3 linked regions of the Xenopus tropicalis genome follow. The main gene of each other region encodes a partner of the protein of the gene in region 3 in a complex. Links are inferred from orthologs where the notes say so. Each region holds a gene or a part of one and is shown on either strand. Other genes may lie near its edges.

What was found.
Region 1: the proteins of inhba (region 3) and fst are in contact, whole or in part, in a crystal structure (PDB 2P6A), measured with the Homo sapiens proteins. The link is inferred for Xenopus tropicalis from reciprocal best matches to the Homo sapiens genes INHBA and FST. Residues at the interface, in NP_002183.1 of Homo sapiens: Asp315, Phe327, Asp337, Trp338, Ile340, Ala341, Gly344, Tyr345, His346, Gly360, Thr361, Gly363, Phe368, Thr371, Arg397, Ser400, Leu402, Tyr404, Asp405, Asp406, Gly407, Gln408, Asn409, Ile410, Ile411, Lys412; in NP_037541.1 of Homo sapiens: Trp33, Arg35, Val44, Leu45, Arg60, Phe76, Met79, Asp135, Glu152, Pro154, Glu155, Val180, Val181, Asp182, Gln183, Tyr188, Val190, Arg221, Thr224, Cys225, Arg229, Ser230, Ile231, Gly232, Leu233, Glu328.
Region 2: the proteins of inhba (region 3) and acvr2a are in contact, whole or in part, in a crystal structure (PDB 7U5P), measured with the Homo sapiens proteins. The link is inferred for Xenopus tropicalis from reciprocal best matches to the Homo sapiens genes INHBA and ACVR2A. Residues at the interface, in NP_002183.1 of Homo sapiens: Ile340, Ala341, Pro342, His346, Arg397, Pro398, Met399, Ser400, Met401, Leu402, Tyr404, Asn409, Ile410, Ile411, Lys412, Asp414, Glu421; in NP_001265508.1 of Homo sapiens: Asn36, Asp53, Lys56, Phe61, Thr63, Lys65, Val74, Lys75, Cys78, Trp79, Leu80, Asp81, Asp82, Ile83, Asn84, Val100, Phe102.

The regions. Positions count from the first base shown.
Region 1 is NC_030677.2:192,428,114-192,432,216, forward strand, and holds the start of fst (follistatin), read right to left. Parts: upstream 2,807-4,103; 5' UTR 2,717-2,806; coding exon 2,632-2,716; intron 1,634-2,631; coding exon 1,442-1,633; intron 647-1,441; coding exon 428-646; intron 78-427; coding exon 1-77. UniProt on the Homo sapiens protein: Multifunctional regulatory protein whose primary function is to antagonize members of the transforming growth factor beta (TGF-beta) superfamily including activin, myostatin, GDF11 or bone morphogenetic proteins (BMPs).
Region 2 is NC_030685.2:77,286,275-77,290,548, forward strand, and holds the start of acvr2a (activin receptor type-2A), read right to left. Parts: upstream 2,807-4,274; 5' UTR 2,228-2,806; coding exon 2,173-2,227; intron 1-2,172. UniProt on the Homo sapiens protein: On ligand binding, forms a receptor complex consisting of two type II and two type I transmembrane serine/threonine kinases.
Region 3 is NC_030682.2:57,853,810-57,857,750, reverse strand, and holds the start of inhba (inhibin beta A chain), read right to left. Parts: upstream 2,802-3,941; 5' UTR 2,425-2,801; coding exon 2,037-2,424; intron 1-2,036. UniProt on the Homo sapiens protein: Inhibins/activins are involved in regulating a number of diverse functions such as hypothalamic and pituitary hormone secretion, gonadal hormone secretion, germ cell development and maturation, erythroid differentiation, insulin secretion, nerve cell survival, embryonic axial development or bone growth, depending on their subunit composition.

The DNA of each region.
Region 1 (4,103 bases), on a different chromosome or scaffold from region 3:
TGTCACACAGTAGGCGTTATTGGTCTGATCCACCACACAAGTGGAGCTCCCTGGGCACAGCACGTCCCTGCAAGTTTCTGAAAGAGAAAGAAGCGCAAGGGCGCACATCGATCAGTATAAAGGCGCAATGAATGACAGATGGACTTACAGCACTACTGGGGCACAGCTAAGCGTAAGGTCATAATAAATTGCTCTTATTTACTCCATATACTATGTACTTTATGGGACCCGTATTATATCACATAAAGTTTTGCAACTCCCAAGCCAATGCGCACCAAAAAAGCTTCTCAGGCTACTAAAAGCCACCCAATGAGAGCTTTCTTTTCCATGCTGCCCACCCATGAGGTTCAGGTAACATCACAGCAATCTAATGTGGCTGTCCCTCCCAGCCCACAGATCCCTAACTCCCCCCACTTGTTTAACCTACTTTTGCATTTTCCTTGGTACTGCACATCCAGCTCCGGGACCCCTTTACATTTGGCTTTGAGCAAAGCGCACTCATCCTTATAGGTTTTGCCATCTATTCCGCACACGGAACCTTTCCAAGTAATGTTGGAACAATCCGGAGCGCAGACACACCTCGGCTTGTTCTTCTTGTTCATTTTACATTTCTTCCCAGGGCCACAGTCTACGTTCTCACATGTTTCTGTAAGTGCAACAGGTTTAATTAGCCAGTGGGCAAAGTACTCAAGAAATAGTATTACTAGGAATGTGATAAATAGCCCCATATCTCAGCAGCATGTCTAGACTTTCAGGGACTAATGTGCCTGTGCCATTACATAAAGATCATCTGGGGTGTTATGGTATCTAATATAGATGATAAATAGATAGATGATAGATAGATATGCCAGATTCATACAAGCTCCTGACACTGGGAACTTACTAGTACAAGAAAAGTATTTCCCCTCTGTGCCTAATAGCTAAAACAGCATGCAGTATCTATGGAGAGAGAACAAAAGTTCCTCCAGAAAGCGAACTCAAAATTGAGTGCAGATGTCCCCTTCACTTTAATAAATCCCTCCGTGAAAAATAACACATAATAAGCAAGTGTAGGTGGCCAGAATCTGCTAGCACAGTATCCTAAAGTCTGAGCTGGGTGAGATTATTCTTGCACACACACATACACACATACACACATATGGACTGTGTGGCTGCGTCCCCCTATACAAAAATAATGCCAAAAGCAGTTCAAAATATGTCAAGTATGCGGGTATATAAATACATATGGCAGCTTCATGGTTTCATGGAAGCACAGGTCGCATCAAGCATACACAGGGATGGTTAAATCATGTATTCCTACAACGTGTCAGTAGAGACTGTATGTTAAAGTACTAAAAAAAAAAAAAACTTCTCTCGACTTCTTTGCTTACAGAGATGTAGGAATTTAACCCTTTCATTTTCAAAACGAGGAGATGGTAGTAAAAATTGTCAAGTAAAGTACCTTTGCAGGGGACGCAGTGAGGGGCCCCTCCATGAAATATCATCCATTTGAAGAGGGTGCTGTTGGGTACATCCTCTTCAGTCCATGAGGTACCCAGCCTGCCAGTCTTGCAGCATTCCTCCTTGCTCAGCTCAGTCCTGTAGAGAACCTGACATCGGCCGTTCTTCGACTGCTGCAGCCAGCAATTCCCAGCTGTAAGAGACAGCGGCCCAGCCATATCAGTGTCACTTAGCAGTGACCCAGACACAACACGTGTGCTCTGCGCTCACTTCCACTAGACTGTTTACTTTTATTCGGCCTCTTTCATAACCTGCACTAGTAACAGCAGTCTCTCCCCAGCCAAACCGCTCACACTTGCACGGTTAACCCCTTCAGGGCTTCCACTCTATAGATATCCACCCAGGCTACACAAAGGGTTAATTGGCCGCGCTGTTGAACAGCCTCCCATCCAGATGTTGAGATAACGAGCCCATAAAACCCCTGCTTTATTGAAATATTACAGTATCAAGTGCGTCAGTTGTCAAGCCTGCGATCCAACCTCATGTTGCAATCCAGGCACATTCAGAACATCTACATGCAACACTAATCCATTTCGAAACGTGTTTTCTCCCCAATCCCACGCTATGTTACCCCTTTTTTAAAGTTAAGAGAAAGGATAAGCTGAACAGCAATAGTTCTAAACAACTCACTACAACTAGTTCCATTTGGAATTGCGCCAACTAACACTGCAAGTAGGCAGCAATTAGCACAAGGCAGATTGCGTCAGTTGGAAGAAATTCTGCGCACCGCTGGGTCCGACTGCGCCTCTGCTACGTATAGTAGGGGGCTGGCAGCCAATGACTTGCCACCACAACTTCTGTCCCACCAGCTGGAGTACAACTAGAGTAGTACGAAACAAATACCGACATCCTCGCAAGTCCCTAATAAGTCACTAGATTCGTTACATAACTGTAACCACTGATAGTAAAGTAGCACTCTCTGCCGATACATTTATATACACATTAATAAATCTGGAAGCCAAGTTGACTGTAGCCCTTAAAATCCAGAACTACCATCTTGATATTGCAGATATGTAAAAGTGAAGTCTGATCTAAGTCACCAGCCTAACTTGCCTCTCCTACTGTCTGCCCTAATACCAAAAAAAATGAAAGAAAATCCAAAAAGAGTGATCAAGTCCTTCAGGTTCTTACCTTGGACTGCGCGATGTTCCATGAAATGGCACAGAGAGACAGTCAGGAGGAAAATCATGCCCGGCTGGATCCTTTCATTTAACATCCTCAGTGCAGAGAGTGGAGAAGCAGCAGAGTCTCAAGTGGAGAGATGGGATAATGGACCAGGCACAACTCCGGACTCTGCTTATGATCGCTCTATTGAATGAACAGCAGCCTCTAATGCAGTCTCTCTTTAAATCTATAAGGGGGTCTTAGCTGTCTGCGGTGGGCGGTCTCCTAATGTGTGTGTGTGTTTGGGGGTGGGGTAAAAAGAAAAATTCAGAGTGAATCAGGTGACATTTTCCACCTTCTGGAAACCTTTTCCAATGAACAGTGGGTAGGTAGATCCTAGAGAGAATGTAGCAAGGAGTGTTTGCTGAGTCCCAAGCAGAGAGAGAGTGAAACTTGTCCAGCAGCTGGTGGGGAAATGGAGCAGCAGTGTGGCTACTTGTGCAGCAGCAGAGGCAGCAGCAGGGAGTGGGGCATGTGAGTGGGAAGCGCTGCTATAGGAGTGGGGCATGTGAGTGGGAAGCGCTGCTATAGGAGTGGGGCATGTGAGTGGGAAGCGCTGCTATAGGAGTGGGGCATGTGAGTGGGAAGCGCTGCTATAGGAGTGGGGCATGTGAGTGGGAAGCGCTGCTATAGGAGTGGGGCATGTGAGTGGGAAGCGCTGCTATAGGAGTGGGGCATGTGAGTGGGAAGCGCTGCTATAGGTGCTGCTGGGTGCGCACAGGACAATGACGTGACCTCTCCCAGACTCAGCCTTGTTGGGCAGGACCTACCCACTCTGGCTCCCCCTGGGCACCTTCTGAGCAAAGACCGGGCAACATCGGGGCGCACTGTCTAAAGAGGGGGGGTTAGGACTTGCCCCCCACCCACCTCCCACTCAAACTCTTAAAGTGCCTTTTAAAATATAACTCCCAGAACCTGAAACAGTAGTTAAGTGTCTGCTCCCACATCCAGCTCTCTGGGAGTCTTCAGGGACAAATACAAGTTTAATACCTAAATTTGCCCCCCCCCAAGTGACAGTCTTTTCAAGTGGCAGTGTCTGGAGTATCAGACAGGAATGGGACGACGTAGGCGGTCTCCTTTCATAGCCCCAGAGATTGCCCCATCGATAATGAACTTCTATAGGGCCAGTTTATTAAGCGCAGTCTGGCATCCTCCGCTGCAAGTTGGCGGCCACTCATTTCTAACATTTTTGGCACAGCTGAATGAAACTGAGTAGGCGATATTTCCTTTTATACAGAACCATTACTTCACGGAAAATGGTATTGTTGATTCAAAAGCTGCCTCTTTTCTCTCTCTCCCTCTCTCTGTCCCTCTACATTTTCTATTCTTTTTGCCTCCAGAGCCCAGAGGACAACAGACAGAGAACTATGCAGACTGCATTCCTGGATACTGGCAGGTCGCTTGGATTTGTATTGCCACAGACTTTGACTGCAAATAAC
Region 2 (4,274 bases), on a different chromosome or scaffold from region 3:
AATCACATTTTAATGGTTCAGCAGCTCTCTTAGCTATGGTCACTGACTTTCAATGTGCCACCTGCAGAGCCAGTTAACCATAAATTAACCCTAAAAGAGCTTCTCATATTAGCAATCTAAAACTGCAAGCTTCTAAGAAACCACTAAAACATGAAAAATGTAAAACACACAATATTTCAGAGAAGAACTCTTACCAATGTTTACATCTTTATTTCAGGTTTAATTTGCTTTAAGTCTTTCCCCTTAATTACTACGAGATCTTACAGATCTGAAACGTGACCCTTTGATAAGCTTTAGCAACGTGATACTTTAAAACGAAATTGAACGACGAAATGTTTGTGATTACATTTTTTAAAAGTGGCATTTGGTCTTTTATCGAGTTAATCTTGGGCAGAAAATGCAATTTCACAGCACAATCTGCCCACATTGAATCAATACCACTACAGACATAGGGCTAGACTCTCCCCCTATTTAATAACCACAAGGAAAAAGATCCATTCAGCAGAGCCCTTGAAGACCTGAAAGCTTTATAAATAAAGCTGAATGTCTGACTTTGGGGAACAATACCGAAGCAACTCAGGAGCAACTGGAGAGTGAAATCAAATCTGAAAGGCCGGAGAATGGTCCGACTCTATAGCGTACTCTGCACCAATGAACCAGAACACGTTCCACTGGCTGGAAGGAACAGATAAATCAGACATTAAGCATTCACGTTTCTTCTGTTCGCAAACAACACGGCCTTTCATTGCTCAGCTCTGGACAAGTGAGCAGATTTTCCAAAGCGCAACACACCATTTGCTAAGTTGGCATAAACCCTGACAGGTCCGCAACACAATGGGGGAAAATAAATGAGGAAATCAATGCAGCTTCCCGTCTAAGCGTGAATCTGACCGGTTCCAAGACGCGAGCAGTTTAAACTGTAAAAGCTCTTGAAGCAAAGACAGTGGGATTCAGTTCGTGCTTGGTTAAATAAAAGGAGCCTGCGACTGGGCGATACATACAAATTCAGGTAAATGTCAGCAGCTGAATGACAGCGCTGGATAAAGCACACTCCTCTTAATAAAATGGAAATCTGCGAGGATTATGGAAGTCTGAGAGGCTGAAAAAGCCCAAGGGTTGCTCCAAAAAAACACTATGTATGCCTGTCCAGAAGGGCACTGGAGCCAGTTAATCCTTTTGCTGCCAGACAGACTTGGAACAGGCTTGTTTGCCCCTTTGGCAATGAAAGAATTTAATGCTTTTTGATAGATGGCTTCACAATCAATGGAAATATCCTTAAAGAATCCCTGGCACTTATTAGGTTAACCACCCCAGGCTTTTCTAGATAAAATCTAGTTATACACTAGACTGTTGTATTCCAGAGGGTTTTTTTTTTTTGCAGTTCATATAAGTTAATGCCTAAAAACCAATGTCGCACATAAAGAAGGTCATCCATTGTCCCCCACCTATATACAAGATTTAATTGGGACGACTCGCTTAAAGCAAATAAAGCTACAGTGCAATGAACAAACCTTGCAATGGGAATATTAATGCGTACATAGGGCTGAGTGGATGTTGATTGATTATCACACAACTATAGCAAGAAATCCTGCAGCGATGTGTGCACAAAGCAGCCATGGCAATGCATCTATCAGTGAGCCGAACTGTATAGGGCTTGCCACCTGCCTAAACCACTTACTTTGCAAATTATTCTGCAATGCTAAGCATTCTGCAACCCCGCAACTAGCTACGGGCGAGTTGCAGCCTTGCCATTCCGTGCCCGGAGCAGACACCTTGCCCATACAGTGCAAATTTTGTTTAAAGATTCTCGTGTTACCTAGTTTCCCCCTTAAAGAAAGGCAGGCCGTTTACAGCTAGATACACAAAAACGACTTGAAAGAAATAAAATCAGATTATGGAGACTGCCATGATGATAAAACTAAAGAGACTTGCGTGATACAGATGAAAGGTAGTTTAAAGTGAACTGATACTACGTAGGTAACTGCAGATCTAACCAATATAATGCTAACTCATCTGCGGTAACTGGCAGCTAAAAGTGTCACTTTTACAATGCCAGATTGTGTTCAAAGCAATCGGTGCATACACACAGACATCCCCGTAAGGATTTGACATTTAACTGGCGTATCAGCCATTTTATTAGACCAACCACAAACACGTGTGAGACTGTCTTACCTGAGGAACAGGAGATAAGAAAGACTGCAAAGGCCAGCTTGGTAGCAGCTCCCATGTTTTTTCCTTTACAGTTTGTGTTCCTTTTTAACAATCCAATGACCTATCCCAGAGGAAGCAGCAGGCGTCCGCAAAGATCTTTTTAGAAACAATCCGAGAGAAAACAGTTTATGCCCATTCCAGATAAAGCAATAAGGATTTATCCCAGATAAAGCATATATCCATGGAAAGCCTTTAGGATCGATCCCAGAGAAAGCAGAAAGCCTGAGGGAGGGGGGGGGGGGTTTAAAGATATATCCCAGAGTAAAACTAGATTATAATAAAGGGAGAATCACAAATCAAGAAGTCTGGGGAGGGATCTAAACAGTTAATATCAATGGCAAACTTTTAGGATGTATCCCAGAGAAATCTATATATGACCATGAAGAATATTTAGGATGTTCCCCAGAGAGATGTATATAGCCAAGAACCTTTAGGCTCTGTCCCAGAGAATGCTGGATATGTCTGTTTAGGATCCAACCCAGAGAAAGCTGTTCGTGTCCATGGAGAAATCTTAGCATAAATCCCAGAGAGTAGAAACGATGTCCAGTGAGAAGCTTTACAATCTACCCTAATAGAGATGATGATCTACCCCAGAGTGCAGAGTTGGACCAGTCCATCAGGATCTACCCCAGAGTGCAGAGTTGACGTCCTTTAGGAATCTTTAGGATCTACTCCAGAGTTGACGTCCTTTAGGAATCTTTAGGATCTACCCCAGAGTTGACGTCCATTAGGAATCTTTAGGATCTACCCCAGAGTTGACGTCCATTAGGAATCTTTAGGATCTACCCCAGAGTGCAGAGCTGACATCCATTAGGAATCTTTAGGATCTACCCCAGAGTGCAGAGCTGACGTCCATTAGGAATCTTTAGGATCTACCCCAGAGTGCAGAGCTGACGTCCATTAGGAATCTTTAGGATCTATCCCAGAGAGCAGAGATGGACCAGTCCAAAGAGAAACTTTAGGGGGGGTTTATACCACAGGGAACAGGAGTTCATAGGGTGTCCCCCATATAATGCTACGGATAGCCAAGTGGAACCTTTAGGAAGAGCAGGACGTGTCCATGGGGAGAAGAGATGGGGGGGTATGAGGGTCAGCCAGGAAAGGGTGGGATGGGGCAGGTGTGCCAGACTTGGGGGGTATGAGGGATTTCGCCCCCCCTGAGCTGTGCCAGTGGTGGTGCCCCAGGAATACTAATAGGAAAGGGCTGGTAGAATGAAAGGTTAGCCCAGCTGGTACCCAAGTGCCCATGAAGTTCCCATGGCCAGGGATGAGGGGATATATCCGAGCCCCCCGCTTCCCGGGATCCAATACAAACACGGGCGTTACGGTACAAGCGCCCAAGGAATGAGAGAGTCGGTCGGTCTGTCCCTCACTCACGCCTCGGCAAGGAGCCGCTCCGTGACGGTAACTGCCCGCCTTTACTCCCTCCGCCAGCTCCAGCGCAACGTGTCTGAACGTCCGCCACCTCCCGGGCTAATCTCATCTCTCCCCATTCAGCAGCGCGGATTGCTGCCCCCCCTCTGGCCCAAGATGGCGGCCCCCGCACCGATTGTTTTTGTTTTCTCGCCTTCCCTCCCTCAGCCAGCCCTGAGAGAACCCGGCACCGCCCACTGTGACTGGCGGATAGCGGAGCCAATAGCGCCGCGGCGTGGGACGTCGTCCCGAAACTGCGCTTTGGCCAATAAGGAGTGGGCAAAACGCAGTGGGCGGGTTTCCGGAAGTGACGCGAAGGGAGCGGGGTGGGGCGAGAAAGTAGTGTTATTTGGGACAAAGTGAATGTGTTATTTTAGTGTTGGTCAGGAGCAATACTAGCCGTTGAGCTTTGCAGGAGCTGAAGTACAGTTACTGTTGCCGAACTACAGCTCTCAACCTCGCATTGGAGGGTACTGGGAGCTGCTTTACATCGGGTGGAATGTAGTCTCCGTGCTTCATGTTTATACTAACAATTATTATAATATTTAGGCGTCTTTTATTATTTTTCTGGACGTTCCTGAGTATTAAGTGGGAATACATAGTGCAGGGCAGGGTTGCCATGTTTATTTTTCCAAACTAGCCAAAGTCAG
Region 3 (3,941 bases):
CTCCTACTGTAACCATCCAACCCACAGAATGAATCTGGCTGTTGAGACCAAACAAAGTCTGGCCATGCAGCAGCCTGCAGAGCTTGTTAGAATAGACTAGGGTAATGGAATGCACAGACACATGACATCACGTGCCAGCAGTCAGAGCAGACCTATTTGTTGAACAGGGCATTATCAATCACTTTATTAACCCAATTTAACAGCTCAAGCTTGGCACTGAAAATGATGACAAATAATGACTACCTTTGCTGGTTTCAAACTTTTGCTGAATGAGCCAATTTTCTCCCCCTAAACTGACTTGCATAAACTGTTATACCTGTACAGGTTTGTTTGTGCAGCTACTGCAACAGTTCAGACCTATTAGAACTGAACAAGGAGATAAATAGACAGACAGACTTTGGCTTTGGGTGACACAAAAGCAACTTTTCAAAAACTGTGCCTTGCAGTGTTTAGAGAATTATAACTATAACATACATTTATAATCTATATATATATAGATATATCTAGTTGACCGAATGTGCCAAATAACAAATTAACAATGCAGCTGGTTATTATACTGAGTGGAATTTGCATTCTTTTTTAAGGCATAACCATTTTTCTATCCACAGCCTGGATGATAGGAGCAGAAGCATGAATAGGACCCAGGCTGTATATGGCTAAGTGGGGTTTACCTCACAACTGCCAGCCTCATGGAAGAGAACAGATAATGCAGTACTACACTGTATTCTCAGAGGCAGCAAATCGCTGGCAGGAATGTCTGATCTGGGAGCATGCACACTTCTGCAAGGCTTTCCTGCAGACAGAACATCTGAGTCAACAGGTTTTCAAGACTGGAAACTCTGAGCGCTGTCTTAATTGTTTATATTCCTGCAGCACATTTTAAACAAAATTGCTTCGAGTTCCCGCACATACTTTGCTTACGATATGCTGCACTAAACAATGGCATTCTTTTCCAACTGGCTCAGTGACCAGATAAAATGCTATTATAAGAGGGCTTCTTTTAAAGTTACTGCTAGCAATAGCTGCAGGGGGAAAAGAAAAAGAAAGGAAGGAAGAAAGGAAGAAGAAGTCTGAGTTTTGACAGCTCCACAGCTTAAGAGCTGCTGTAGTTTGTTTGCAGCAACAGTTTTCAACACAGTCTGCGGAACATGCTGAACTATTTTATTCTTATGAATGGGAGACAGGAGCTGTGTCAAAACATACTCAATCAAGACTGGGTTTCACCGGTGGCGTTCAGAGGGCTTTTACAAGAATCTTGCTTACAGAAGACAGATAAAAGTTGTGCCTCCACATTTTGCTCTGGCTTACTCTAAAAGGTAAGCAACATGCTTATATGGGGTGGGGGGAGATCTCTCAAACATTTTTCTGCTGTGAAACCGATAAATCTGCAAGTTTGCCCGTTCCAGCTGTAAGCTGCTTAGCAATACAAGTGCACTGCAGCAGCAGCAGTCAGCCCCTGACTCTGGCAAAGGAGCCAGTGAAGCTTTGCAAGGCAGGCTGTGGCTGGACTCTTTGGTGGTAAATGGGTGGAATTGAATCTTAAAGCGTCACGCATAAGCCACTACCTTCCTCTATTCAGATGCCTTTAATGATCATAACAGCTGACTTATAACCTTTTGACCAAATCTTTGGCAGTAATTATTTTTTACACTTCTAAGTGATTACTGAGCTATCAGCCTAATGATAAAAGCATATCCCCCAGTCCTTTATGGATTGTTTCACACTCTCTGCCTGCCTTCTTTTTTTTTTGCTTTTTCTATAGTTTTGGAGAGTGCCCATCCCCCTCAAGCACTTGTACTCTGTGTTAAAGATTGCCCAGAGATAGCTCATTCACTGTGAATTTAGCAAGTGCAAACAAGCATTCTGTGGCCAAGGTTAAATCTCAGGAAGAAAAAAAAACACATACACAAATTATTGCATTCTCCCTAGCTCCTCCTGCATGTTGTGATATTTTAGCCATAATTCCCTTTTGTTTATGAGCAGCACATATCCAATGTATGGTATTTAAAGGCTACTTTACTGTCTCACAAACTCACCTGATTCAGCAAAAGTGATGATTTCTGAAGTTTGCTCAGAGATTTCATTCATTTCTGCTCTTCCTGCAATGACATCCTCAATTTGAACTTGCCCATCGTCTCCCACTTTTCCCACATGTAGTTTCTTAATGGCATTCAAGAGAGCTGCTTTAGGCACTGTCTGTGTGATGTTTGGTCTGTCTCTTAAATGCAGCATATTCAATATGTGCTTCTTAACTGCCTCCACCATGTCACTCTGAGAACTGGGCACATCCTTTTGAAATCTTGCAAGGGCACAAGATGGACAGTCATTCACTGAGCTGTGCCCCTCAGATCCTGGAGTTGGGGAACTCCTCACTATAATCCAGCAAAGTACCAAACAAACTCCTTTCAGCAAGCGTGCAGGCATCCTGTCACCAGGTGATGATTCTTTCCCCCAAAACACTCAGCTTTTCTTTCTTTTATTTGCCTTTTCTGTCTCTATCTCTTCTTGTTTTGTGGAGAAAGTTAATTCCTTGAAATATACAGTATCTCTTTTCCTCCTTGAGAAAATTCTCAGAGACAAGCAAAAAGTTTCTCTTTTTCAGTAAAGTTTGGATTTGCAGTTTCTCTCTCTCTCTCCCTCTCCCTCTCCCTGGTTTAAGTGCTGTGGGTATTTGTGGCTGTCAGTGTGAAACGCTCTGACTTCTGTCTCTGCCTTTTGAGAGAGAGAGAGTGAAAGAGAGTAGAGACAGAGAGGACGGACTAGCCTGAAGTGAGTGAGTGAATGAGAGAGGGTGGGAGTTTGTCTACAGTATGAGTAAGGACTTCATTAGGGAAGGGGGAGGAACAGATTCTGACAGGCTGCTTTTGCTTAGTTCATACTAACACACACCTCTTCATATATCCCAAAGCTCATGCTTTTTGCTGCCCCCTCCCTTTAATCAGTCTTCTTTCTTTCTTTCTTTCTTTCTTTCTTTCTTTCTTTCTTTCTTTCTTTCTTTCTCTTTCTTTCTTTCTTTCTTTCTCTTCTGTCACTTTATCCATCTCTGTTCACCACTTTAACAGAATCACCCCTTTCTCCCTTTTCTAGCTCCTATTCCTCTCATATACAGACAGCCTCAGTATCCCATGTTGTCTCTCACTGACTGTGTTGGATTCTTTCTAATTTTCAGCTTACATTCTTCTGACATCTACTAAAGGCACAACATCATTTATACTGATATCTCTTTGCATTTGCCTCTGATCTGTAATAAACTATTCATTGTGCCAGAACAAGTTGTTGCACACACAAACTTTCTTTCCTGTAACTGGCATGTGCACTTTATCCTTCCATAGAGCAGGCATAGGCAATCTTCAGCCCTTCAGATATTGTGGGACTGTAGCTCTCAGAATGCCACTGAGAGCCAAAAACAAAGTTGGATAGGAGCAGATAGATAGAAGATAAATCTTTTACCTACACACTAGTATGTAACCCTTTCTGCTTATTGCAGCTATGATGGCAAATTAATATATATAAATATTACAATGATAAAAGGCTCTAATGACATTTAGAACAAAGTCCTGCGACTCAAATCAGTGAGCAACTCCACATACTACAGTCTGGGACTCTGTACTCCGCAACGAGTGATTCAGCACCATTGAATAGAGGAAAAACTTTTTTGCATCACTAACTGACTGTTTCTTTTACATTCCCCCTGAGGAGAAAGCAGATAGCCGGTGTCCCTTCTGACTTGGCTCCTTGCGGCAAGTTTTAGACAAAGATTGAGGCACTTAAGATCTGAACGCTGCTTATTTTGCCAGTGGAGTCCAATCAGCAGTGAGATATCAGGGAGCTAAAACAAAATCTGAAACAGGGTCTAAAATTGACAATGATACATACAGTGTAGAATTAATAGTGATTCTGTTGCATGTAAGAGAATGTATATTTTTTTTCTCAGAGTAAAT